3 linked regions of the Bombyx mori genome follow. The protein of the gene in region 1 purifies or fractionates together with the protein of each later gene. This does not show direct contact. Links are inferred from orthologs where the notes say so. Each region holds a gene or a part of one and is shown on either strand. Other genes may lie near its edges.

Region 1 (8,966 bases):
CGTCCAGGAGTCGGAGTTCCCGCCTGACTGCACACTGTGTAAAGCAGATCTCCGGCAGGGAACTATCACACCAGGGGATGTTCGGTGGTGTGGCACCCCCGTCGTCCACAGTTGAGTTCGAGGCGAAGAGTTTGACCAGAAGGTCAGCCTTCTCTTTCGCGCTGTGGGCCAGAGTGTCATCGGACTTGCGCAGTGGTGGGAGACTAGACCTGCAAAAGTTTCCTTCTGCAGCTTTGGCGAGCGACCAAAAAGCACGGCTCCCGGAGGGATAGCTCTTTAATCGCTCGCCAACTCTAGCAACGTGCTCCTATATATATGCTTATAAATTTAGCTTCATATTTATGAAAGCATATCAGTTTACTTGGTATTGTTAATTCAGAAGAGCATAAACCATTTTTACAAAGTTTTAAATATCCAGGAACCAATTATATGTAGGAACAAATTACCTGTTTAAATTGATTACTCATTGAAGCAAGGCGTGACTGTAATGCGAGTACAACACTAGATGAATGACTGTGCATACTGCGACGACCTCTTGGCATTTCACCTAGTCTGGCAATTTGTTGATTTAAAGAATTTAAGTCTCCTTTAATAATATAAGTTAGTTCTTGAATTTCTGTGGGACGGTCATCAAATAATGATTTCCTCTTAGCCACTGCAACACAATTATTAAACATTTCAAGTAAATTTTCCTATAAGAACTGTAAAATAATCTGATTACAAAGGGATGTTGTTTAATTAATTTGTCATAAATTGTAAACTAAGATTAACTTAGTGGTAAATGACTGTTATCATATTCTTGATATATTCATTTTTTATATTTTATATATATTGAGGAGTGAAAGGCTGTTTGGTTTAAAAGACGTTTCGCTCAATACACTACATTTATCTCAGTAATTAACGTTTTTATTTGATATTACCATCAACAGTTCGATGTTTTCACTTGAATTTCACATGATTGGTTGAACTTCAATTAATTTTACTTCATTCATTTAGGTAGCTGAAGAAGTTATTTTGTTATTTTTTTTCACAATATTAATTTTGAATTTCATGATTTGATATACAGTAACATACATAAAATATAAATCTTGTAGGGCAATTTTTGTTTGTATTGGTATCATTACCTCTATGACCTAACTTCATTTTAGAGAACAATTTCTTTGTACCTAGTTTATAGCAAATGTAGCGTTTCTTTTACATCTTATTAAAAAAAAATGTTTATTTAACATTTTATAAAAGCAATAAATGAAAAGAATATAACACTTCATATTGGACTTATGCCTGAATCATTTAAAATACTTACACAAGGCTAACTTTTCCAATTTGGTATATGTACTAGTAATATTCTTACTAATTACTTTTGCCATACTCATGAATTGGGAGTAAGTTTCCAACACAGCAGCTTTTCTATCATCTCTTACGGTTGGTTTGTTTAAGAAACGTCCTTGGAGACTGCGTACAGTTGAAATGAATTCACTTGTTCTATCTCTTGAAGCCATAACTGGTTCAAAAACAAATTCTTCTAAAAATTTAAACACGTCCTGGTCAGATGATTTAAGAATCAATGTTGATTTGGAATTTGATGAGTTCTCGTAAGGCCGCGATTCCCCGTAATGAACACCTTTCTTATCTAATTTATTGTATGAATCCGTTTCTGTTTCCAAGAGTCTTTCTGTAACGCCTATATTTCGCCTTCGAGGAAGCATCGCATTGTAGTCTTCAGTCTTCACCTATAAAGTTTTACAGAAAAAACGTTGTCAACTTTGTTTGATAAGTAAATTACATTAAGTCAAACAGTACTGTTACACCACACATATGCTTTACTTGTTAATGATTGGGGATATTTTGTTTGAAAATGAAAACTTACAATTTACATAATTGAGGCAGTATTTCACAATTTTACATTCCAATACTTACTTAGAAAACCAATAGCGTTCAAATAATTACGTACTTTCATAGTACATTCATGTGTGTACAATATTTATCATTTCATCTCATCGATTCTTTTCAAAACTCGATGATATATCTATCTTTTAAATTATCAAGTCCCACTATTCCATTTTTTAGATAAGGTATGTAGGTACCTACCCACAATCCTTTATTTTTAATCACTCGATAGATTCCAGACACGTAGTCATAGATAATACACTTAACACGTAGGGGTAGTCATAGACTATTCTGGCTTAGTTTGTCCATTACTCACTCTGTCACTCACATGCGCACGAATACGCAAACCCGCAAGTGTAGGACGACATTTGCGAATGATTATGCAAAGTTTTCGCTGCATTCGTGGTTTTCCAAGCTGTGTCGGTTTTTTAACAGACATCAAAGCGCGCGAACCTCGAACCTTCGCGTAGTCTCCCACACATTCGCTTGCCCAGTTGCGCCGACGATTGCGAAGGTAACGCCGTTTTCATAGTTCGTGACGTCTACTGTGTAGCGTATCTTCATCAAAAGAAATCCCATAAAAACAGCATGGCTGTTAATCATGTCTGGGAAAGAATTCAAAAATCTTTTTCTTTTCAATGTTCTATTGACGAATTAAAAAGGAGGAGAAATTCGTGAGACATTCGTAAACAAGTGTAGGAGGAAGCGCAAACGGGTTCGCAAATTGAGTATGCGAACCCATTTGCACAGCCGCTAGGTTTGCGAATGAATGTTTGACGGCCCTTTACATGCGCGCAAACATTCGTACAATGTACGAATATTTGCGCGCATGTCAGTGGCCGGCATTAATACAATTAATTTTTTTTTTATCTCAGATCTACTTTTTTTACTCTTTGGGTTACAGTCCTGTTTCATTTTCATCTTTTTATGGATTTTAGTTTCTCTTCATGCCAACAAATTGTTGCCGTAAAAATTCTATAGAAATAAAATAATAATTTCATCTGTCATTTGAAACATATTCAACAAAATTTTCACAATACAAACATCTGGAACAGCCATTTCAATGTAATCTCAAAAAGCATATTAATTTAACTGTTGTACCACTTCGTTAGAATTGATGTGGGTATACCTAGTTGTTTGTCTTAGCAATTTTTGGCAGACTAATGACAATGTGTTTATGTTTCTATAGAGAAGGTCGATCTCTTCACTTCCAACTATTTAAATTAAATGACGAAGAAGTGACACCAACGAACATGTGTGTGTGTATCAAAAGATTATATCGTGTGATGATCAATGGGTCGTTTTTAAATTTGGGGCCAAAAGCGAGTTATTTAATTCTCATAATAACCTTAATGTTACCGTAATTATATGTTCAGTAAATTTGTTGTCATAACAGGCGCGTGGTCCTATAACTATACACCACTATTTTTAAATTAGTACAAAAAAATTAACTGGGCTCTAAGTATCTTTAACTAATCATATTATATGGTAGTTAAAAATAAAAAAAACACGAAGTCTCAGAACTGTCCATAAAAATACGTAATAATTGGTAAATGCTAAATAACTAAATCAATGACCGAAAGTACGTGCGGCAGGGTTTTAGTATCTACGGGGCGCTGCTCCATTGATAAATTCCAGGAAACTCAAGTCAACTCAACTCAACAATAACGACAAAAACCTAAACACTACTAAATTGTTAGCGGAAGTGTGCGCATGCTTTTTTTCGTTGCAACAGTTGTTTGTTTAAGTTTTCCCTGATGCGATGGCTTATCAGTTCACATCACGGGAGTATGTAGCTATGCTTCGTGGGTACTTTTTGAGTGGAGAAAATGCGAGTGCAGCTGTACGTATGTACAGGGAAGAATACCCGAACGCGAGTGCAGCTGTACGTATGTACAGGGAAGAGTACCCGAACGCCCGACAGCCAAATGTGCGAACCGTGGTAAATGCTTACCAGCATTTGCTTGATCACGGTTCATTCCACGCACCGTCACATAGTCAAGAACGAGGAAGACTGGCGTTGTGACAAAATCTGTACGACGATGTACTAGCGTATTTTGAAGAGGATCCCCGACGGAGTACAAATGACACTGCTCGACGGTTTAACAACAGCCAGTCCTGTGCCTGGAAGATTGTTAATAAGGCCGGATTATATCCATATCACTACAGGAAATCTCAGGAATTAACCACCGTTGATTATGTAGCGAGGATTTCATTTTGCATCAGGATACTGAACAATACCGAAGCAAATGTATTATTTTCTGCATTGGGCCTGTAGCTTGGCCTCCACGCTCACCTGACCTCACGCCCATGGACTTCTTTTGTGGAGTGAAATTAAGAGATGTGTGTACAGAAGCGAGCCGGTTAGGCTCGCACAATTAAAACAGCGCATATTGGACGCTTTTGACGAAGTGAAAAGACATAGAAGCGCACTTCTCTCGTTAAAAACGAGTTAATGAAACTTGCCCGTCAATGTATTGACAATGGTGGTGGACATGTCGAAGGACAATTGAATATACAAGTATTCATGATGAGATGATATGGGATGAAATATAATCTCAGTAAAATGGTGGTTATTTACTGAAATTTTTTTAGTGGACTTTTTGGAGGATCCCGATAAGTTACGTCCAGCGGCTTTGTTTCATTTTACCACATTTGTGCACTTTCACAGATATTAAACAGTTAATAAACCACCGTTATTACACATTTAAACCTGAAGAAACACTAAATAGACAAAATAAAACAAATCACACAACTTCACTCCTCACGTTCCCCCCAAAAAGTCGCTGTCATTTTTTTTTCTCTTTTTTTAGGTATTTTATGACCTGGTAGCTAAGACTTTTAAGTCATGTCTTATTTTAATTTATACTCTTATTTTTATGAAAAATTATGAAATGAAATGAAGATGATTAATTTGAGACATTAATCAACTGGGATGAAATCAAATGAAATGAAATGAGATGATATGGGATGAAATATAATCTCAGTAAATTGGTGGTCATTTACTGAGACTTTTTCGTTGGACTTTTTGGAGGATCCCGAGAAGTGACGTCCGGCGGCTTTGTTTCATTTTCCCACATTTGTGCACTTTCACAGATACTAAACAGTTAATAAACCACCATTATTACACATTTAAACCTGAAGAAACACCAAATAGACAAAATAAAACAAATCACACAACTTCACTCCTCCGTTCCCGCCAAAAAGTCGCTGTCATTTTTGTTTTTTTTTTTAATTTTATGACGTGGTGACAGAGACCTTTAGGTCATATCTTATTTGGAAAATGTTCATTAGTTTGGGGCTGTCATTTATAGTTCACTTTTATCATAGATTATCATAGACCTATATAGTAGGGACACGACATATTGTACTATACGTACAATTGCTTATATAAATAGCACCCATTTTGAAGGCACACACATAAACATATATCTATCTCGTTCTTACTCAGCACTTTAACTCGCAGGAAAATAATATAACAGTATTTCAGTGCGTACATAAAATGAAACATGAATATACGTAAATGTCTAATGAGGCCGAAAATCCGCCATGTTGAGCGCTCCAAATGTCATTGTCACGTCAGTTCGGCCGTCTGTTTTGGGTTGCGATTTAATATGATTGCTTATATAAAATTTCATATTTTATCATGCTTAAAACATACAAAAATAATAATTAAAACGTATTTTATAGGATCTCAAGAAAGTCGATGCCCCAAAACTATTATCTATATATATTTAAATTCATTACGGAGCCCTCATCCGAAAAATCATTTTTCGGTCGGAATCTATTGATCATGACACTAATTATAAATACCTCTTTAAAATATGTCATCAAAACATATTATTGACATTCTGTTTAGATATTTCGGGAAAAAGGCTACCGACAAAATCTCTTCGGAACTATTTAAATAAAATAGTTTTATGCCGCAGTGAATAAAACACTATTGTAAATTCGGTAAATATTTAATAATTAAGTGATTTTAGAGAGGAAGTCACAAGGAATGACGTTTGTAATTAATGAATAAATGTTCTGTATAGTGGGATTTTTTATTAGACGAAGTAAACTGACGTTTACTGTGTTGTCAGGTTTTGATGAAATAAAAATAGTGTTGTGACAAAGTGAACGATTGAAAAAACTCCTGAATTAATGAAATTGCCTCGATTGTCTAATGAATAGTAGGTGTGCCGAATTGCCGATATCGGGTACGGGGTTCGTATTTTATGCGTGCTTTGTACATACCAACGAGTTTTCGACGAAATATTATGTTCCTATAGTATCTACCTGTACTGAATACCGAGTGTTTTAAACATTATGAAAAACATTGCGAGGAAGCTTGTAAAACTGTCCTATTTCCAATACATCAGATAGTTGAAATTATAGATGTATAAAATATAACAATTATAGGTATGTAACGAAAATAAAAAAAAGTGTGTGTGTCCGCTCCGACGCACGACTGGAGTTTACTGGATATAAATATAAATTTGTGTCAGTTGAATACAGTAAAATATGGAAGTTACGTATTCTAGTGAGAATGATCCGGGAGTTGCGGAACACGTGGATGCGGTAATTAAGTAAGTCTATATAATTCACTTTTACAATTAATATATAAGTTGTCCATTCACTGATAGAAGGAATTGTTTATATTTAATAAGCTTTATTAATAAATGATTTGTAGCGGGTTATATTCGGGTATCAACCCACTAACAGTTGATACGTTCAGGAATCGAACCCGAACGGCGTCCGGCCACAAGCAAAACGATGTCGGTAAATTAAACGAAACAATACGAGAAATAGTTCTATATTACGACAACACGATACACTACAGATTATTAACAAATTAACGAGACACAAAACAAACGACTAACAAATATATGAAAATACAATAATGAGAGAAACGCGCGATCAGTACGAGGCTTTGTGGCGGACTGCCGGCGCAGCAGCCCGGCGTCACCTGCGATAACGCGGCCGCGCGTTGGCTCCTGATTGGCCAATCAGGAGCCAATCAGGCGCATAACGCATTTCGTGTGACATGCTATACTCTCTAGTACGATTTTGGTCCCCATAATTTTCATACCCCGGGCCTATATATGTAAATCGATTCTTAAGGAGTAAACTCCAAAATACTGATTGTAGTTACATACTACTAGTAACATATATTGGAGCACTTTAATACAATTTTATTGTAAAATATAAATAATATTCTTTTATAGTTTGAAATTAATGATTAATTCTTCACACTCATTGTTCATTCATGTGATTGAACGAGAACTAAACGCATCACTATTACTTTAAATATAGCAACATTATTTCACAAAGTGACATTAGCTACTGTCAGCTGGCTTCGTCTAATTAAAAATCCGACTATAGGTGTTTTTTTTTTCACGCGGTCCTACGATAAGTTTAAAATTTGAATCACTCTCACGTGAAAGTGATTCAAATGGTGCGGCGCACCTTCCTTGAGGTGCGCTGCGGTAGTGTGTTACGGACTTTAGGTCAGCAAAACAATTAAAATAGATTGTAATAGTCTAAGAAAAACACGTACTCAAAATACGATAACATTTAGCATGCTAGAAATGGGCAGATGGCACTGTACTACGCCATATCTTTATGTTTTGCGACAAACGACAACTTTATAAAATCAGTGTAGCAACTTTTAAAAATCATCATATCGTTTACTTGGCAAATTCGAAGGACGAACTTGTCTTAGATTTCACACATCTAAATCATATCATATTTGCACATAACAATATACCTACTTACTTCCCATTAAAGTATAAATTATTTTATTTTTGGAGTTTACTCCTTAAGAATCGATTTACATATATAGGCCCGGGGTATGAAAATTATGGGGACCAAAATCGTACTAGAGAGTATAGCATGTCACACGAAATGCGTTATGCGCCTGATTGGCTCCTGATTGGCCAATCAGGAGCCAACGCGCGGCCGCGTTATCGCAGGTGACGCCGGGCTGCTGCGCCGGCAGTCCGCCACAAAGCCTCGTACTGATCGCGCGTTTCTCTCATTATTGTATTTTCATATATTTGTTAGTCGTTTGTTTTGTGTCTCGTTAATTTGTTAATAATCTGTAGTGTATCGTGTTGTCGTAATATAGAACTATTTCTCGTATTGTTTCGTTTAATTTACCGACATCGTTTTGCTTGTGGCCGGACGCCGTTCGGGTTCGATTCCTGAACGTATCAACTGTTAGTGGGTTGATACCCGAATATAACCCGCTACAAATCATTTATTAATAAAGCTTATTAAATATAAACAATTCCTTCTATCAGTGAATGGACAACTTATATATTAATTGTAAAAGTGAATTATATAGACTTACTTAATTACCGCATCCACGTGTTCCGCAACTCCCGGATCATTCTCACTAGAATACGTAACTTCCATATTTTACTGTATTCAACTGACACAAATTTATATTTATATCCAGTAAACTCCAGTCGTGCGTCGGAGCGGACACACACACATTTTTGGAGTTTACTCCTTTAGAATCGATTTACATATATAGGCCCGGGGTATGAAAATTATGGGGACCAAAATCGTACTAGCATGTCACACGAAATGCGTTATGCGCCTGATTGCGCATGTCACACGAAATGCGCGCCGGGCTGCTGCGCCGGCAGTCCGCCACAAAGCCTCGTACTGATCGCGCGTTTCTCTCATTATTGTATTTTCATATATTTGTTAGTCGTTTGTTTTGTGTCTCGTTAATTTGTTAATAATCTGTAGTGTATCGTGTTGTCGTAATATAGAACTATTTCTCGTATTGTTTCGTTTAATTTTTTATATCCAGTAAACTCCAGTCGTGCGTCGGAGCGGACACACACACTTTTATTTTTATTTTTATTGCTTAGATGTGTGGACGAGCTCACAGCCCACCTGGTGTTAAGTGGTTACTGGAGCCCATAGACATCTACAACGTAAATGCGCCACACACCTTGAGATATAGTTCTAAGGTCTCAGTATAGTCACAACGGCTGCCCCACCCTTCAAACCGAAACGCATTACTGCTTCACGGCAGAAATAAGCAGGGCGGTGGTACCTACCCGTGCGGACTTACAAGA
Region 2 (7,195 bases), on another chromosome or scaffold:
ACGAGCAAAACCAGTCGTAGGCATCGTTAGCTTTGATGCCGATGCCATTCTAAGATATGTGTACGGCTACTATTTACGAAAGGAGTACCCAACAAAAAAAAAGTTAGTGCAATCACTGAGGGAAGCTGATGGGGAAGTTCTTTAATGAAGATTTTAAAGACCGTTGGATTTCGATACAGATAATGTAACAAACGCAAAATCTTGATGGAGAGATTTGATATCGTGATGGCAAGATATACTTTTTTACGGCAAGTGAAAGAAATTGAAAATGTGCAAAATTGTGTGTTTTTGTATGAAACATGGCTTAATGCTAACCATACTGTAAGTCGTTTTTGGACCGATATCTATGCAAAATCTACGTCCACAGTTCCTGTTGGGAAAGGATCGCGACTTATAATTTGTCACGCCGGAACCATCAACGGGTTTGTCGGAGGTTCTCTCATGGCGTTTGCGTCAAAAACCACTGGAGACTATCATGAAGAAATGAACGGGGAAAGTGTACTGAATGATTTATTTCAATTTTGTGTAGCCTCCCTGTACCATCTATTATAATAATGGATAACGTCCCATATCACTCGATGTAAATTGACAAGCCACCTGCCCAATCCCAAAAGAAAGCTGACATCATCGCATGGCTTCATAAAAATGGCGCAGATGCAAACGTAGATATGTTAAAAGCGAATTACTTAGTACGTCTTTTAAAAGAAAGCAAACCAACCAAGATACGATACGTCATTGACGAAATAGCGTTAGAACATGGGCACAGAGTTATATGGTTACCACCTAACCATTGTGAATATAATGCAATTGAGTTGGTGTGGGCTCAAATTAAGGGATATGCTGCAAGACGCAATACAAAATCCCTATTGACCCCAACAAAAATGCTAAAAATATTAGACGAAGCTTGTAAGCATGTGACTAAAGGAGACTGGGAAAAGGTTGTGAATAGAACTGTTAAATTAATAAGGGAAGATTATGAATAATATTGTAGAAAACGAACTTCTAATTAATCCAAGTGATGACAATGTAAATAGTAGTAGGAACGAATCTGATTAAATTTAGCCTTTCGTGACACCTAACCATATAAAGTATGTATATTCATTTTAATTCCAATATTCAGATCGTTCAAATATATTAAGTAAGCATTTATATTTTTGTTTTATTAAACCTTTTTAATCAGGTACTACTTGCAATAAAAACTTATAGATTTCATTATATTTTTTTCGGGAATAAATTGTCATTTCACATCACTATTGTAATATGTCAAAACGACCATCATAGCGTGCCGATAGTGTAAGTAGTAATTCTATAATCTGTGCTGTTACACCGGTCACTCACATGCGCACGAATACGCAAACCCGCAAGTGTAGGACGACATTTGCAAATGACTATGCAAAGTTTTCGCTGCATTCGTGGTTTTCCAAGTTGTGTCGGTTTTTTAACAGACATCAAAGCGCGCGAACCTCTAACCTTCGCGTAGTCTCCCACACATTCGCTTGCCCAGTTGCGCCGACAATTGCAAAGGTAACGGACGTATCGCCATTTTCATAGTTCGTGACGTCTACTGTGTAGCGTATCTTCATCAAAAGAAATCCCATAAAAACAGCATGGCTGTTAATGATGTCTGGGAAAGAATTAAAAACTCTTTTTCTCTTCAATGTTCTATTGACGAATTAAAAAGGAGGAGAAATTCGTAAGACATTCGTAAACAAGTGTAGGAGGAAGCGCAAACGGGTTCGCGCGCTTTGATGTCTGTTAAAAAACCGACACAGCTTGGAAAATCACGAATGCAGCGAAAACTTTGCATAATCATTCGCAAATGTCGTCCTACACCTGCGGGTTTGCGTATTCGTGCGCATGTGAGTGACCGGTGTAATACTAACGGCTCAGTGACTTTTTTGGCGGGAACGCGAGGAGTGAAGTTGTGTGATTTGTTTTTATTTTGTCTATTTAGTGTTTCGCCAGCTTTAAATGTGTAATAACGGTGGTTTATTAACTGTTTAATATCTGTGAAAGTGCACAAATGTGGGAAAATGAAACAAAGCCGCTGGACGTAACTTCTCGGGATCCCCCAAAAAGTCCACTGAGACAGTCTTAGTAAATAACCATCATTTTACTGAGATTATATTTCATCCATATCATCTCGTTCGTCTCATCTCATTTCATTTCATTTTATGCCATGTTTAATAATATTAATCAACTTCATTACATTTCACTTCATATTATCATGTGCAGAGTTAATTACTACATTAATCAAATTACTTTCTCAACATCAATTATCTATACCGTACCACGCTGCTAATTTCATTCAAACTTACACTAATATTAATAATGGTTAACACGGACAGTTTCCTTCGTTTTTTATTATTCATAAACTGTAAATAATTAAAACGGCGAATTATAAAAATATTATTATTTGACACTGGCTAATACACAAAACGTGCCAGAACCAAAAAAAAACTAATAAATTAATGTGTGAACTAAATAGAAAGAGATGTGAGATACATAATACATATTACTTAGTGAGAAAAGATGACCTAAGTATTTGAAATAGGCACTAAAATTTATAAATAAACATAAATGAAAATACTTTTTACTTGCTTATTTCTTGTTATTTTTGCCAAATTTTTAGATAGCGCATTTTGATGTTTATATTAGCTACTTCAGAAATTGAATGTATTTGCTATGGAAGGTAACAAAATACAATTCTACTTTGAAGAAACAAGTTTAAACAGAATAAATCTTTTTAAAGAAGCTTTATCCAGTGCAGAAAACGGAAGAGTTCTTTATATTCTCCATGAAGAATTAAGTCAGCTACCCACATTATCACAAGATTTAAATTCAGTGAATAGACATTTCATGAAAATGATTAGTTTTCTTTATGTAGAAACTATTGAAGCACTTATAGACAGTGTTTCAACACTACCAGATTGGCAGAATGTGCCCTCAACAATTATTTTAGATGACTTAAGCAAGTTCTTCAGTAGAAACAACCAACAAAACATTTATGGGATTATTGCTCTGTTGATGGACAGTGTACGGATCTGTTCTGTTTCACTCGGAAAGCCATGTAATTTATTTGTTGCTGTAAGTAAAGAAGTTGTAGGCGATGATTTTTGTAAAATCTTAAAAGAATTATACTTTTGATTGAAGTTTAAAAACTAGTTAGCATAATTATTATAGGGAATACTTACTAATGATCACATATGAGCATCATTTTAAGTATTATACTTATTTGTTGCATAAGTAGGTGAGTGAGTTAAGTGGATACCTAAGCCTATAGATAACAATCAAAACTTAAATACCGCTGACTATCTTTAGAGCTAAGGTTAAAGGCTCAATTGTATTTTATTATGGCTGTCCTTCAAACAACATATGGTTACTTAGTGAAGGAAAAAATTAAATGTTGACACCTACCTGTGCAAGCTAGTACTTATCATTGAAACATATTGTAAAAGTTGTGGAATAAGTGAAATAAAATAAACATTTAATTTATACATATGTTTTATTTACATTTCAACATATACAAAATTTATTTCGAAACACTTATAATACACAGGAGTGATGGATGGGTAATGAAAATCATCTAAATTTTAAAATAATATACAACAAAAAGAACACAAAAATGGAGAAGAGGAATAGATAGAAAATATAATAGTTGTGGTTCCCTTTGCCAAGCCTTAAAACTCTTCCCATGGTTTTTCCAAGGAAACCTGAGCTTCTGTCAACATCATCATCTAATCCACGCAAAAGTTTTTCTTGGTCCCTTACTTCATTGCCTAACTCAATGGAAATGTATTTAAGTGAAGATATCTTGCCACTGAGTTCTTCAGCCATTCGTTCATTTTCATTTTCGATAGTATCTTCCGTAGCTACTCTGGGCACTGGCTGATAGTGGTAGCCTTCGCGGGCTCGCCTCATATTCGTTCGGCCCGCCGTTTTGATTAGCAGCAAGACACAAGAGTGATGATGATAATCAGGTCTTGGTTAATTACGTCCTTCGTTAGACGTTTATTTAATTTTGGATCTACTTGCCGCCTATTTACTATAAAATATTGTTTGTTTTTGTCAATTTGTAATAGGATATGAAAAAAAAACACTAATTTAATAATCTGGACACATTGAAAACATACATGGTTTACAGTAAGTATATAATTTGCTTTTATGTAGTTGTGTTAGATGTGATAGTCTCCTACGTGTTTATCTGACTCAAATGTCAACTGTCAATAGTAGTAGTAGCTCCATTTATCCAACTGAAAAGACGAAGGTCTCCTAATATTATGCATATTTCGTTTTATGACAAATTTAATGGACCGCATTGAAATAATGTTGATTAATTTGAAATTTTAATCATTTGAGATGAAATTAAATGAAACTTGATAATGCGGGTCTCAGTAAATGGTGTTTATTTACTTAAACTTTCTCAGTGAACGTTTTGAAAGAACTCGAGAAGCTACGTCCAGTGGCTTTGTTTTATTTTCCCACAATGTGCACTTACACAGATACTAAACAGTTAATAAAGCACCGCTATTATAAATTAACAAAATAGAACAATTCACACAACTTCGCTCCTCGCGTTCCCGTCAGAGTTCGACGTGCGAACTAGCTCATAGACACAACTCACTGGGTTTCTCACCGGGTCTTTTCAGTGGTTTACAATTCCGATCCGGTGGTAGATTCTGCGAAACACTACTATTGCTAGGGCCAGTGCTAGCAAACTCTCAGATTGAATGACCTCACCTACCAGTCGGTGATTAGCTGGAATAGACCCTTAGGGCTACCAGCGATTAGGTAGAGAAAAAAGTCTTCAACGCTCATCTTTCAGTCTACCAGTCACATAGTAGAACTGAAATCCTACGAGCTGATGAAGGAAAATACTTAGGGCTATCCCGCAATAGGCGAAACACAGAGAATTCTGTGTTACAGTACCGTGACACGTAACTAACGATGAGCACGACCACAAAATTAAGGAACAAGTGGAAGCATATATAAAAACAAAATATTGCAATTCCTAATACTCACGAGACAATCAGCTTCAGAACTAAAAAATAAATAAATAAACCTACTAATATTGATTTTTTTTATTGCTTAGATGGGTGGACGAGCTCACAGCCCACCTGGTCTTGTGGTTACTGGAGTCCATAGACATCTACAACGTAAATGCACCATCCACCTTGGTTTCACTGCAAAAATAGGCAGGGTGGTGGTACCTACCCGTGCGGACTGGACACATACTGCCCAATTTCCCAAATTAATCGTGGGTTTTCACAATTATTATAGATAAATTAAAAAAATTATATTTAGAAAGTAGATTATGCAGATAAATATTTCTTGTTTACATCGCAACGTTGAGGCACTTTGATTTAAAAAATGTCGTGATTCGTACTTTATTTAAATTACAATTTTCAACGTTGATAATAATATCAGAAGGCCCTTTAAAAAAAAAACATGGAAACTGGTTTTTCGAACAGTTTAATTAAGCATTGGCGCACTCATATCGCATGAAAAGTTTTTAATCTGTTCAATCAAGAAAATGTATTTCCGAAAATGCTTTCAAAGTAATTAAACGATAATTCAACCTGCAAACTTTTTCTTATCCCTTTTAAGCCGCCGTTAATTAGCTATTCCCGGGCCCTACAACGTCTTTTTAACATTTTCTTTTGATTTTGCACGCGCATGAACTTCATGCTTTTTCGACTTGGTGCTCGACTTCCCATCTGCCGCTCAGAATTCGTGCGCTTGGAAGTTGGAACGGGTTTACATAATATACCTTCTCTTGTGAACTTTTAATAAGTCGCTGAACGCAGAACGCAAAATAATTAATAATTTAATAAAACATGCTACATACATACTCAATTATTTTATTTTTCAATAATTATTATTGTACAAAGTTTTAACAGTCAGTAACTATCGAAGAATAAAGCTTTCTTATTACTACTTACATAAAAATTTAATGTGCCTCGAGGGGAATGTATTGCACATAGCAGTTGATTTCAGAACATAATATAGAAAAACTGATTGAACAAAAATTATAAATCTACATATACATAAGATTGTTGTTAATATTTTCTACTGAATTAAGTATCTAATTAATTTCAGTTTGTTTTTATTCACGCAGATATAAAATTAAAAAAAAACATTATTCAATGAATGCCTAGCTTTTTGCTGCTAAATAATAGTAGTCATATAATCCTTGAAACAAACTCAAATGATGACAGTAGCATATGAATAATATTATGTGATGAGTAGTCCATCAAGAATATGTATAATTAAATAAGATAGGCGATTAGCATTTAGAATATGTTAGAGAACCATCCCAGCTTCGCTGCAAAGTACTTATTATGTCGTAAACTATCATTCTGAGGGAGAAAAATCAAAACAGTTTGACGATCGACTACCACGTACCTAATCGTTACCACTGCGACTAACGCATCAGCTTTAGAGCCGGTATTCCTAAAACATACTTGGAGGAAGGTAGTTTAGGCAAGAAGACGAACATATTTAAAAAGTCAATCTACCCTCTGTATATGAAAACTAGATAAGTCTGTTTTTAAATTTCACGAGGTGACTTAATTAACGTTTTATCTTCTGTCGCGACAATGTTGTTTCTCGGATAGTGAAAAAACACACGTTTTCCCTTTAAAAATGTTTACGAAACCGAATGCGACTTTTTATAATACCCGAAAATCAACGATTTGAAGCCTCTGTTGAGAACCTCTGCAACGAAATCATAGATCCAAAGATAATGGATTCAGCTATTAAAAAAGTATTAACTGGTGAAACCCAGAATACGCTTCGGTATTCTGGGTTTCACCCACTAATACTACTATACTGGGTACTACCCCAAATAGTATGATAAACATAGATTTTTTGGAATTACTGGAGTGCCATATACTCTCCTATGATAATACGACAGAAACATTTTCTACAGCGCGAACAAAAATTTTACCAATTTTCATCACATTCCGATGAAAGATTTAGAAAGGTATGGAGGACAAACAAAACTCGAGTTCAGAGATACTATAAGCGTTTAAAAGTTTAGGTTATAAGCTAGGTTTGGGTTTTAGTTTGCTAAAAATTTCCTTGAATAGAAAGCATTATAGAATTTTGTCATAAGCAAGGTTTCTCACCTAATATGTCTCGTCTAATATTGATATAGTTTGTTCTGTCTAGTTTGAAATGAAAACGCTTACAA
Region 3 (8,699 bases), on another chromosome or scaffold:
AAATAGCACAGCTGAACAGAAATGGTAGAATACTGGTATCTGACAGGATTACAATCTCAATAGTCTGTAAATCTAAAGATAAATACTGCAGTAGTATAAAATAGAATAATAAATATGATATATGAAATATAATAAATATGTTGGATTGTAATTTTACACAGCATTAGTAGCAATTATGTATTTAAAAACAAAACAAAATTTAAAAGGGATGCATGTTTATTAAACCTTAAATCAAATACAACAGTAAAAATTGTGATCAAACTCAACATTCCATCACCAACATACACAATTAATATGTGAGAAACAATAATAAGATGTGCCTGATTACCTACTTTATGAATGACCTGACCAATAATACATAATAAAATTATTATAATAACTCTAATATTACTTTATTTACATACTGAAATACAACACTAATAATGCCAAATCTATCTGTTATTAGTTTTAAGATTCTTGATGTCAGTTGTTCTTCATTGAGTTTTCTTAATTTAAGGCAAGTTCGCATGTGTTTTATTCTGAATAGCTTGAAAGTATAAAGCAATGTTCATCGTGGTGGTACCTGGGCCTGAGTATTTTTGTTTGGAATAAAATTATCTTGTGTCCCTGATAATTATTTATAGACCATTTAAAATGTTAAACAATTTTGAATTAGTGAACAAAAAAATGACCTGGAATGTATAAATACAAATAAATATACAATGTTTCTCTGTACCAATTTTCTGAACACAGTTGAATAGTTAGAAAACCTCAAATGAGCTTAGAGGAATTGTATAAGGACATTTATCGTTTATGAAAGTTAATAAAATAATTATATATCCTAACTAAATAAACATTCAGTTATTTGAATGGGGTAAACTTAATTGAAATTCAATTTAAAATATTGAAGTCATGATACTAATACCAAATAAAACGGACCTTTAATTAAAAAGATAGATGTCGCGTGTCAAGCGAAATGTCGCTTAAACCAAATAGCCCTTTACCCATCAATATGATCTTTCTATGATCAACTCTTTTTAATGTAACAACTAATGAATTTTAATGAATTGGTGCCATCAAAACCCTTATCAAATGGTACTGCTCGCATTGAATTTATTTCTGTTTTGAAACACCAAAAGCGTGTTCTCTTTTGAAAAATATGTCAACTTGTTTAATATAATATGTGTATTTTATACATATATTTTTTTTAACAGATTTACTTTTTAAATAATTTTGCATTGATTTTATTTCACATGTTACATACGATTTTAGCAACTGGTCTCTTGAAATTGGCGTGAACTATAGATAGCAAAGGATTAAAAAAACAACATTATACATACATTTCTTATTTATTGCTTTTGACATATATTTTTAATTTATATATTATTCACAAATTCAAATACGTTGAGGAAGAATTGAGTTACTGGAATGAGTAATTTAAACACTGAGTCCCATATGACGCTTTCACACGAATGTGAAATAAACATGGCTCTGGGTTTTTGAATTCTATAATTATGGGCCGGAGAGACATATTTTGGTTTAAACCGTAGAATAGATTTAAGATCATAATAGTTCTCAAATAATTATAAAAATCGGTCAAAAAAATAATTGAATAGTCAAAAGGACTCAAAAAAAAATTTTTTGTTGTCTATGGATTCTAAGCGCTGACAGTTAAGTCTGTTAGCAGTGTAGGTATTATCAATGTGACAGGTAGTGCGGGCATCGATCATTTAAGGGCGTTTCCAAAGTAGAAATTCTAATTACCGGGGCAATAAAAATTCAAATTATCATTATACTGACTCATATTAAGCGAGGCGAAAAATAATAAACATGTTGGAATAATAGATTTTGGAAACACGCAATGAACGCGCGTACAAAATATGGGGGTCAACAACCTCATTCAGACCGTACATGGCGGTAGGCGGTGGACGCCTACCACTCCTGCAACATCAATCTGCTCATACGTGATTAATAATAAATAAGAACAATTAAATAGTAATGTTTTGCTATAATTATAATTCACCATCATTGTTTTCGTTTTGAATAATATGTCGTCGCTGTCAAACCAAAATCTACTATGGGCACTTTTTGAGATTTTTACGTTTTGACCTTTTTGTATAGTTCACAGCCTTATCCAAAGTATAAAAAAACTGTTATTTGTCTATAGCTTTAATATTTATCTGTAGCTTTCATTTAATATAGTTCTTAAAAATCCACTTTCATATAAAATTTTATACGAAAATGTTTTTACTCGTTAATTCAAAATAGAGTTTTTGCACATAGCTGATTTTGGTTTGACAGCGACGATATGTATTTGTTGTTGTGTTAATTATAAGTCGCGCTCATTTCCCCGAGACAAACCGTAACTATCATGGAATCATCTAGAGAACCCAGAAGTAAAGCACAATCACGAGCACGATAACGGCTCCGGCGGTCACCTTCACCAGCATCGACTTCGTGTTGAGATACGTGGCGTCCTTCCGGTACTTCTGCGACATCATCGATAGGTTTTGCGTCTTCGTGTCCAGTTCTGAAAGTTAAATCACGTAAAATTGAATAACCATATTCTGGAAATTCACGAAAAAAAATTTTTTTCTCCCACCTATGCTGATAGAGTCTATGTCGGAGCCGGATGGTACATAACTAAAGTTTGACCTCTGAAAACACACTGTGGGTGAATGCAGTGGTTCCAGACAGATATACTACTCGCAGTGGTTAAAGATATGGTAGAACATTGACAACTATTATAACTTAAACGTAAGGGAGGTTGACTAAATAACATATTAAGACCGCAAAATTGTAATTTGCTTAATTACTGGTTGTGGGACTTTTGTGAGTCTGCACGGGTAGGTACCACCATCCTGCCTATTTCTGCCGTGAAGCAGTAATGCGTTTCGGTTTGAAGGGTGGGGCAGCCGTTGTAACTATACTGAGACCTTAGAACTCATATCTCAAGGTCAACATCAGGTGGGCCGTGAGCTCATCCACCCAACTAAGCAATAAAAAAATAAAAAGACAGGTTTTCAAGTGATGTGGTGCCAATTGCAAGACCGGTACATTATAACAATATTATACCCGTGTAAAAATTAGATAAAATTAGGGATGGAGGTGATTTATCAATACAAAAATGGAGAAGATGAAGGCATTTACCGGACAGTATAGCTCCCCTCTGCAGCACGTCGTCGATGTTCTGCATCATGATGCGCTGCACGTCGCCCAGCTGCGGCGCCAGGTGCGAGGCGGCGCCGGCCCGGCGGGCGCGCGCGCCGCCCTCCGCGTACTGCTTCCGCGTGCGCTGCATGCACGTGTCGAACTCTATGAACGTGTACGGACGAGTCACGGTGTTCAACTGTGGACAAACTCATTTCTATAAATAACGCTGTAGTTTAAATATCATTGAACACACAATGCAGAAGTCGAGTCTTCCTTTCGGTTCGGTCTTTAAGAATTCGGTTGATTAACTTGAAATGTACTTAAAGTCACTTTAAGTCGTCGTGGCCCAAAGGATAAGACGCCCGTGCATTTGTATGTAGCGATGCACCGGTGATCGAATCCCGCAGGCGGGTACCAATTTTTCTAATTTCAATAATGATATACGTACTTAGCAAATGTTCACGATTAACTTATGTATTTTTTTTTATCTCAGATGTTTAGTTCTTAATACTGGGATGGTAGACCTATTCTGATTGTTTGTATAATGAAACTAAAACTGTAACTCAAATAATGATGCATTCCAATTTGAATATTGAGATATTTTTATTCCAGAGTAGGTGGAGTCAGCAGGTGCTGTTATTCTTGTTCTGGTATCTACATGCTGCCAGTGATTGATTAACACTAAGCAGCTTCTCAGTGGGTCGGTTTTCCGATCTGGTTTTAGATTCTGCGAAGCACGGCTCTTGCTAGGGTTCGTGTTAGTAACGTCATCAGGCTTGAGCCCCACGAGCTCACCTACTAGTTAAGGCGACGCTGATATAGCCTCTCAAGACTATCAGATAAGGTAGGAAAAAAAAAACTAGATAGACTACAAATAACACCCAATTAAAAAATCTGTTCCTCAGATTGAAACTGAAAGAAAATTTTGTAATTTTAATAAATTAAAAACAGACCCTGTGTCCGTACTGTTGGAAGAATTCCTGTGCTATTTCCTCGAGATAATTGAATGCTAGTCGTTTACTGTAGTTTCTTTCACACAGGACCAAATAACATATGTGATTTTCAATCAAATAACTGAAAAGAGAAATTTTATTTCTTAAAACCATTATTTCACAAAAACAGGCATTATTATCAATAGATTAGAATTATGTAAAATGTTCCTTAAGGCGCCACTGTTTATTTTCATAAGCTGCTCGGTATACTGGTGGCTCACAACAATATTAATTGTGCATGTCCTCATGTGAATCTATTACTAATATTATAAGGAAAAATCAGGCAAACACCCAGCAGTCAATGTGATGTTGACCCCACCACGAATAACATGCCTAAAAGTGTATGCGAACAAGCACATATGGCAGTTTGTGATATTGTAAGGTTACTTAGTCACTTAACACTAGGTGGCTTGTGAGCCTGATCACCCAACCAGTACATGATAAAACTAAATGCATAATAACATGTTTACATTCAGAGTTAATTCCATTGCATTTTGAATTTTAGTAGAACATGTGTTGTACATAACAATATTTAATTGAACATATGGCTCAGTACTATCGCACCAGTCTCACAATAAAGACATAGCAGCTTCCAAGTATATAACATAGTTAGTTTTGCAGCTCACATAATAAAACCTAGCAAAAACTCAAATAAAAAAACAAAACCATACTTAAAAATCATTCTACAAAGCCAATACTTAAAAAGCATTATAAATTTTAGGGGTTTTGTGCTAAAAAACGAGTAAAAGAATAGACAAATAATATAAAATTGTACTTTACAGTCCGATTTTAAAACTTGTACCATATTGATATAATTGTTGATATTAAAATGCCCATAAGCTGTAACATCTCTGGGTTGTTATACAATATAAATTGATTTTCACAATAGTCATATTGTATCATATTGTATGTTGCAAATAAGTATAGTAGTAGCATATGTAATAATATATTACAGGTGCACAATGTCCTATGTCAGAAAGTTATGTCTGGCTAAACATTTAAATGGTGAATTAGGTAAGAAGCTACTGTGTACATATTACTTTCAAAAACGTTTTGCATATAGATTTTTTGTTGGACTATTTTTGTTTAAAATGATATAGGTTTAATTGACATAAATGAACTGTGACTCACTGGAAGAGATACGGGCCGGTTTCAATGGAACATCTCATCGGGGACTGAGGGCTTAATTTCCTAAACAGCATTTTAGCCTGATTCTGGTACTCGAGTATATTGCACCCGCTCTGCAAATCATTACAGCAAATTAAATTATAATTACAACAAACAAAAATAATAAACAAAATTGCAATTTAAAAATAAAAATACTAATACATGAAACAAAAAGATACGAAAGAAATGTATATATGACGAAATATGTTATCATAGAAAATGATTATAGAGCATTCTAAATACCTGCTCATCCTCTTGCATAGTGGCAGCCAAAGGCAGCCCGTCGGCGACTCTTGCAATCATAGTCATTAACACCATATTTAAAGTTAAAATGTCTCTCACTTAAACATAAAATTTATGTAATTGAGTTCAACTTTAATTTAAGGTTTTTTCCTTCTCATAGTTTTGAAAACATGAAGAAAACTCAATAGGTTCTCAATACCACGACAGCTGTGCTTACACGTCAAGTGGACTGACATGACAACAACACGTCAACTAGCAGTGTTACCAATCAGAAAGTCACACTTTGGACTTGCTATTTTACGTGAAATTATTGTCTTTTCGATCCATCAAACTATCTACTTGTGGTAAAAAGAGTACACATATTACTTTTATTTTTTATTGCTTAGATGGGTGGACGAGCTCACAGCCCACCTGGTGTTAAGTGGTTACTGGAGCCCATAGATATCTACGACGTAAATGCGCCACTCACCTTGAGATATAAGTTCTAAGGTCTCAAGTATAGTTACAACGGCTGCCCCGCCCTTCAAACCGAAACGCATTACTGCTTCACGGCAGAAGTAGGCGGGGTGGTGGTACTTACCCGCGCGGACTCACAAGAGGTCCTACCACCAGTAAGAATTGAATTGAACTTAAATTTTTTCAGTACACTTTATTACTAGAAGAAAAGCTTTTTTACTAAAACAGGTTTTGTTTATAAGACAAAGGGAAGATCTTGCAATGAGCGGGTGAATTGCTTGGTAGACCAACAGTCCGAATATTGTTGTCCGGAATTTGTATAAAAGTATTGAAACTTATCTTGAAAATGTCGTTAGCGAGACTCAGGATTCTGTAAAATATCTTCGCATTCTCTGATAGCGGCCTTTTGGGCGGGAAGCGAGGAGTGAAGTTGTGTGATTTGTTTTATTTTGTCTATTTAGTGTTTCTTCAGGTTTAAATATGTAATAACGGTGGTTTATTGACTGTTTAATATCTGTGAATGTGCACAAATGTGGGAAAATCAAACAAAGCCGCTGAACGTAACTTCTCGGGATCCTCCAAAAAGTCCACTGAAAAAGTCTCAGTAAATGACCAACCACCATTTTACTGAGATTATATTTCATACCATATAATCTCATCTCATTTAATTTAATTTCATCCCAGTTTAATGTCTCAAATTAATCATCTTCATTTCATTTCATTTCACTCCATATTATCATTTTTCATAAAAATAAGAATATAAATTAAAATAAGACATGATTTAAAGGTCTTAGTTACCAGGTCATAAAATCCCATAAAAAAATCTCTGATAGCTACCCGTTACATAGGTGTTAATATCATGTAAATTCGGATACGAGAAGGTAACGGGTCTAATCAAATAAATAACGCAGTAAACTCCGTATTTATTATAAAAGGCTAGTCTAGCTGAGCAAGGTACCAGTGACAGCATGCTGGTTGCTTCTCTGGTGAACGACTCCCGGGCAGCAGCGGCCGCGGCATTTGAGACTGTTGGTAAAACAAATGCATGCATATGTCGTCATTGGGTGCTTTGCTGAAGTCCGAGGCCCACGCGATGAAGTGGATTAGTCTATTAGCCAGTAGCCAGTCAAGTACAGTACAAGTACTATGCCATGTACAGGACTGGAAACTGAACGGAACAAGGCTATGTGGATTGGGTATTTTGATGAAGTATTTGAATGGATTAGGACTAGATCGTACTAGTCGTGATTGATTACACACACTCATAGAGAGGCTAACACTACTTATAATCATAGGTAATCTACAATATTAACATTGGCAACTGTATTAGGAGTGTTATGACCAGCGTTAAGTTTACAGTTAAGTGGGAGATTCTTAGAAAGTTGGTGTCTTAAATAATTTTCAGATAGGAGAATATAATACATAAGGTTCAATTAATTTATACCCAAATTTTGGCAAAGAAATTTAATTATTAATCTCAATCAAGTAATACCATGATGTTTGGTTATAGATTGCACACTAAATGACAAACTATTAGCGTAGAAGATAACTCAAATTCGTATGGATTTGGAACGTTTGCCTACGTTCGCGGCTAGGGGTGTTGTTCCAACTGCAAATGTTGAGTTAACTTTTACGCTATGGAGAACGTTAAAAAACTCGCACTAAGCGCACTGTAGTAGGTTGCGGCTCGCATGTAGGTATCGCCACCCTCGGTCAACACTCCAATAGATGAGCCATAGGATAATAATAAATAAATAAATAAGTATCATCGACAACTCAATAAAGCGTATTTTTAAATTTATCTCGCGGTATTTGTTTTTAAATTTTAGACTTCATAGGATAATTTCTATAGTAAGCTCAAATTTTTCATTTCTTCATTAAATGATTATTGTGTTTTTAAATCATAAAGGGAAACGGAGAATAAATAATAAAGATATATTTTTTGTGGATATTTTATTAACATTATCATCATGCATCAAATTACGTACTAAATCATTTACACTTACAACTAACTATACATTAGAAAAATAACTTAACTAGGGGGCAGAAAATACATTATCTTGTAAAATTAACAAAATCTATGTTAAAGTTAATTAAAAATTATCGGACTGTAATTGCATTAAAAACTAAAAGCAAATATAACACAAAATTTCACATTTACACATTCTAACTCTCAGAATTAAAAAATAATAATTTTGAAGCAAAAACGAAGGAAGCGCCGTCTATTGTTCAAGGTAATGAAATTAAACTAACGACACGCAACAAACACGTTCATCCGGAATGAATTACGTATTGAAATACACACTTGGACATTAATTACATTTAGATAAACGTACATCGAAATAGCATGCAACTTCGAAACATTTAATCGCGTGCTGCCGTGCGACCGCAGCGCCCTCCCCGCCCTAATACCAAATTCACTAACCTTCTCGTTGCTTCCACGCACAAATTTCATACTTGAACTATCTAGCGACGCCATCACGTGGCTAGTGAGGGTGTGCGTTTTCGTCGAATGTACATTTGTACATTGCACAAGGGCCGCATGTGCCCGCGTTGCGACGCCACTGCGCCAATATGGCGTCCGCGTTTTTCTTTTTAACAAATTATGATACTAAGACTAGGCTCAATTTTAAAATCATTCATTTTGAGGTGCCATAAAAATTTACATTGAAAATTTTTAAGTACATTAATTATTTATTAGAAACTTTG

What was found.
Region 2: the proteins of syntaxin 5A (region 1) and BET1-like protein purify together in Homo sapiens (affinity purification with mass spectrometry; 3 studies listed by BioGRID and IntAct, with this or other methods). This does not show direct contact. The link is inferred for Bombyx mori from reciprocal best matches to the Homo sapiens genes STX5 and BET1.
Region 3: the proteins of syntaxin 5A (region 1) and vesicle-trafficking protein SEC22b-B purify together in Homo sapiens (co-immunoprecipitation; 4 studies listed by BioGRID and IntAct, counting the BioPlex papers as one, with this or other methods). This does not show direct contact. The link is inferred for Bombyx mori from reciprocal best matches to the Homo sapiens genes STX5 and SEC22B.

The regions. Positions count from the first base shown.
Region 1 is NC_085118.1:10,686,833-10,695,798, forward strand, and holds the start of syntaxin 5A, read right to left. Parts: upstream 4,668-8,966; 5' UTR 3,867-4,667; coding exon 3,842-3,866; intron 2,493-3,841; coding exon 2,341-2,492; intron 2,170-2,340; exon of another isoform or gene 1,958-2,169; coding exon of another isoform or gene 1,952-1,957; exon of another isoform or gene 1,918-1,951; intron 1,731-1,917; coding exon 1,304-1,730; intron 656-1,303; coding exon 447-655; intron 1-446. UniProt on the Homo sapiens protein: Mediates endoplasmic reticulum to Golgi transport.
Region 2 is NC_085114.1:8,351,393-8,358,587, reverse strand, and holds BET1-like protein, read right to left. Parts: upstream 4,205-7,195; 5' UTR 3,922-4,204; coding exon 3,583-3,921; 3' UTR 3,490-3,582; downstream 1-3,489. UniProt on the Homo sapiens protein: Required for vesicular transport from the ER to the Golgi complex. Functions as a SNARE involved in the docking process of ER-derived vesicles with the cis-Golgi membrane.
Region 3 is NC_085121.1:557,252-565,950, forward strand, and holds vesicle-trafficking protein SEC22b-B, read right to left. Parts: upstream 5,790-8,699; 5' UTR 5,610-5,789; coding exon 5,535-5,609; intron 5,366-5,534; coding exon 5,256-5,365; intron 4,207-5,255; coding exon 4,086-4,206; intron 3,329-4,085; coding exon 3,130-3,328; intron 2,510-3,129; coding exon 2,361-2,509; 3' UTR 199-2,360; downstream 1-198. UniProt on the Homo sapiens protein: SNARE involved in targeting and fusion of ER-derived transport vesicles with the Golgi complex as well as Golgi-derived retrograde transport vesicles with the ER.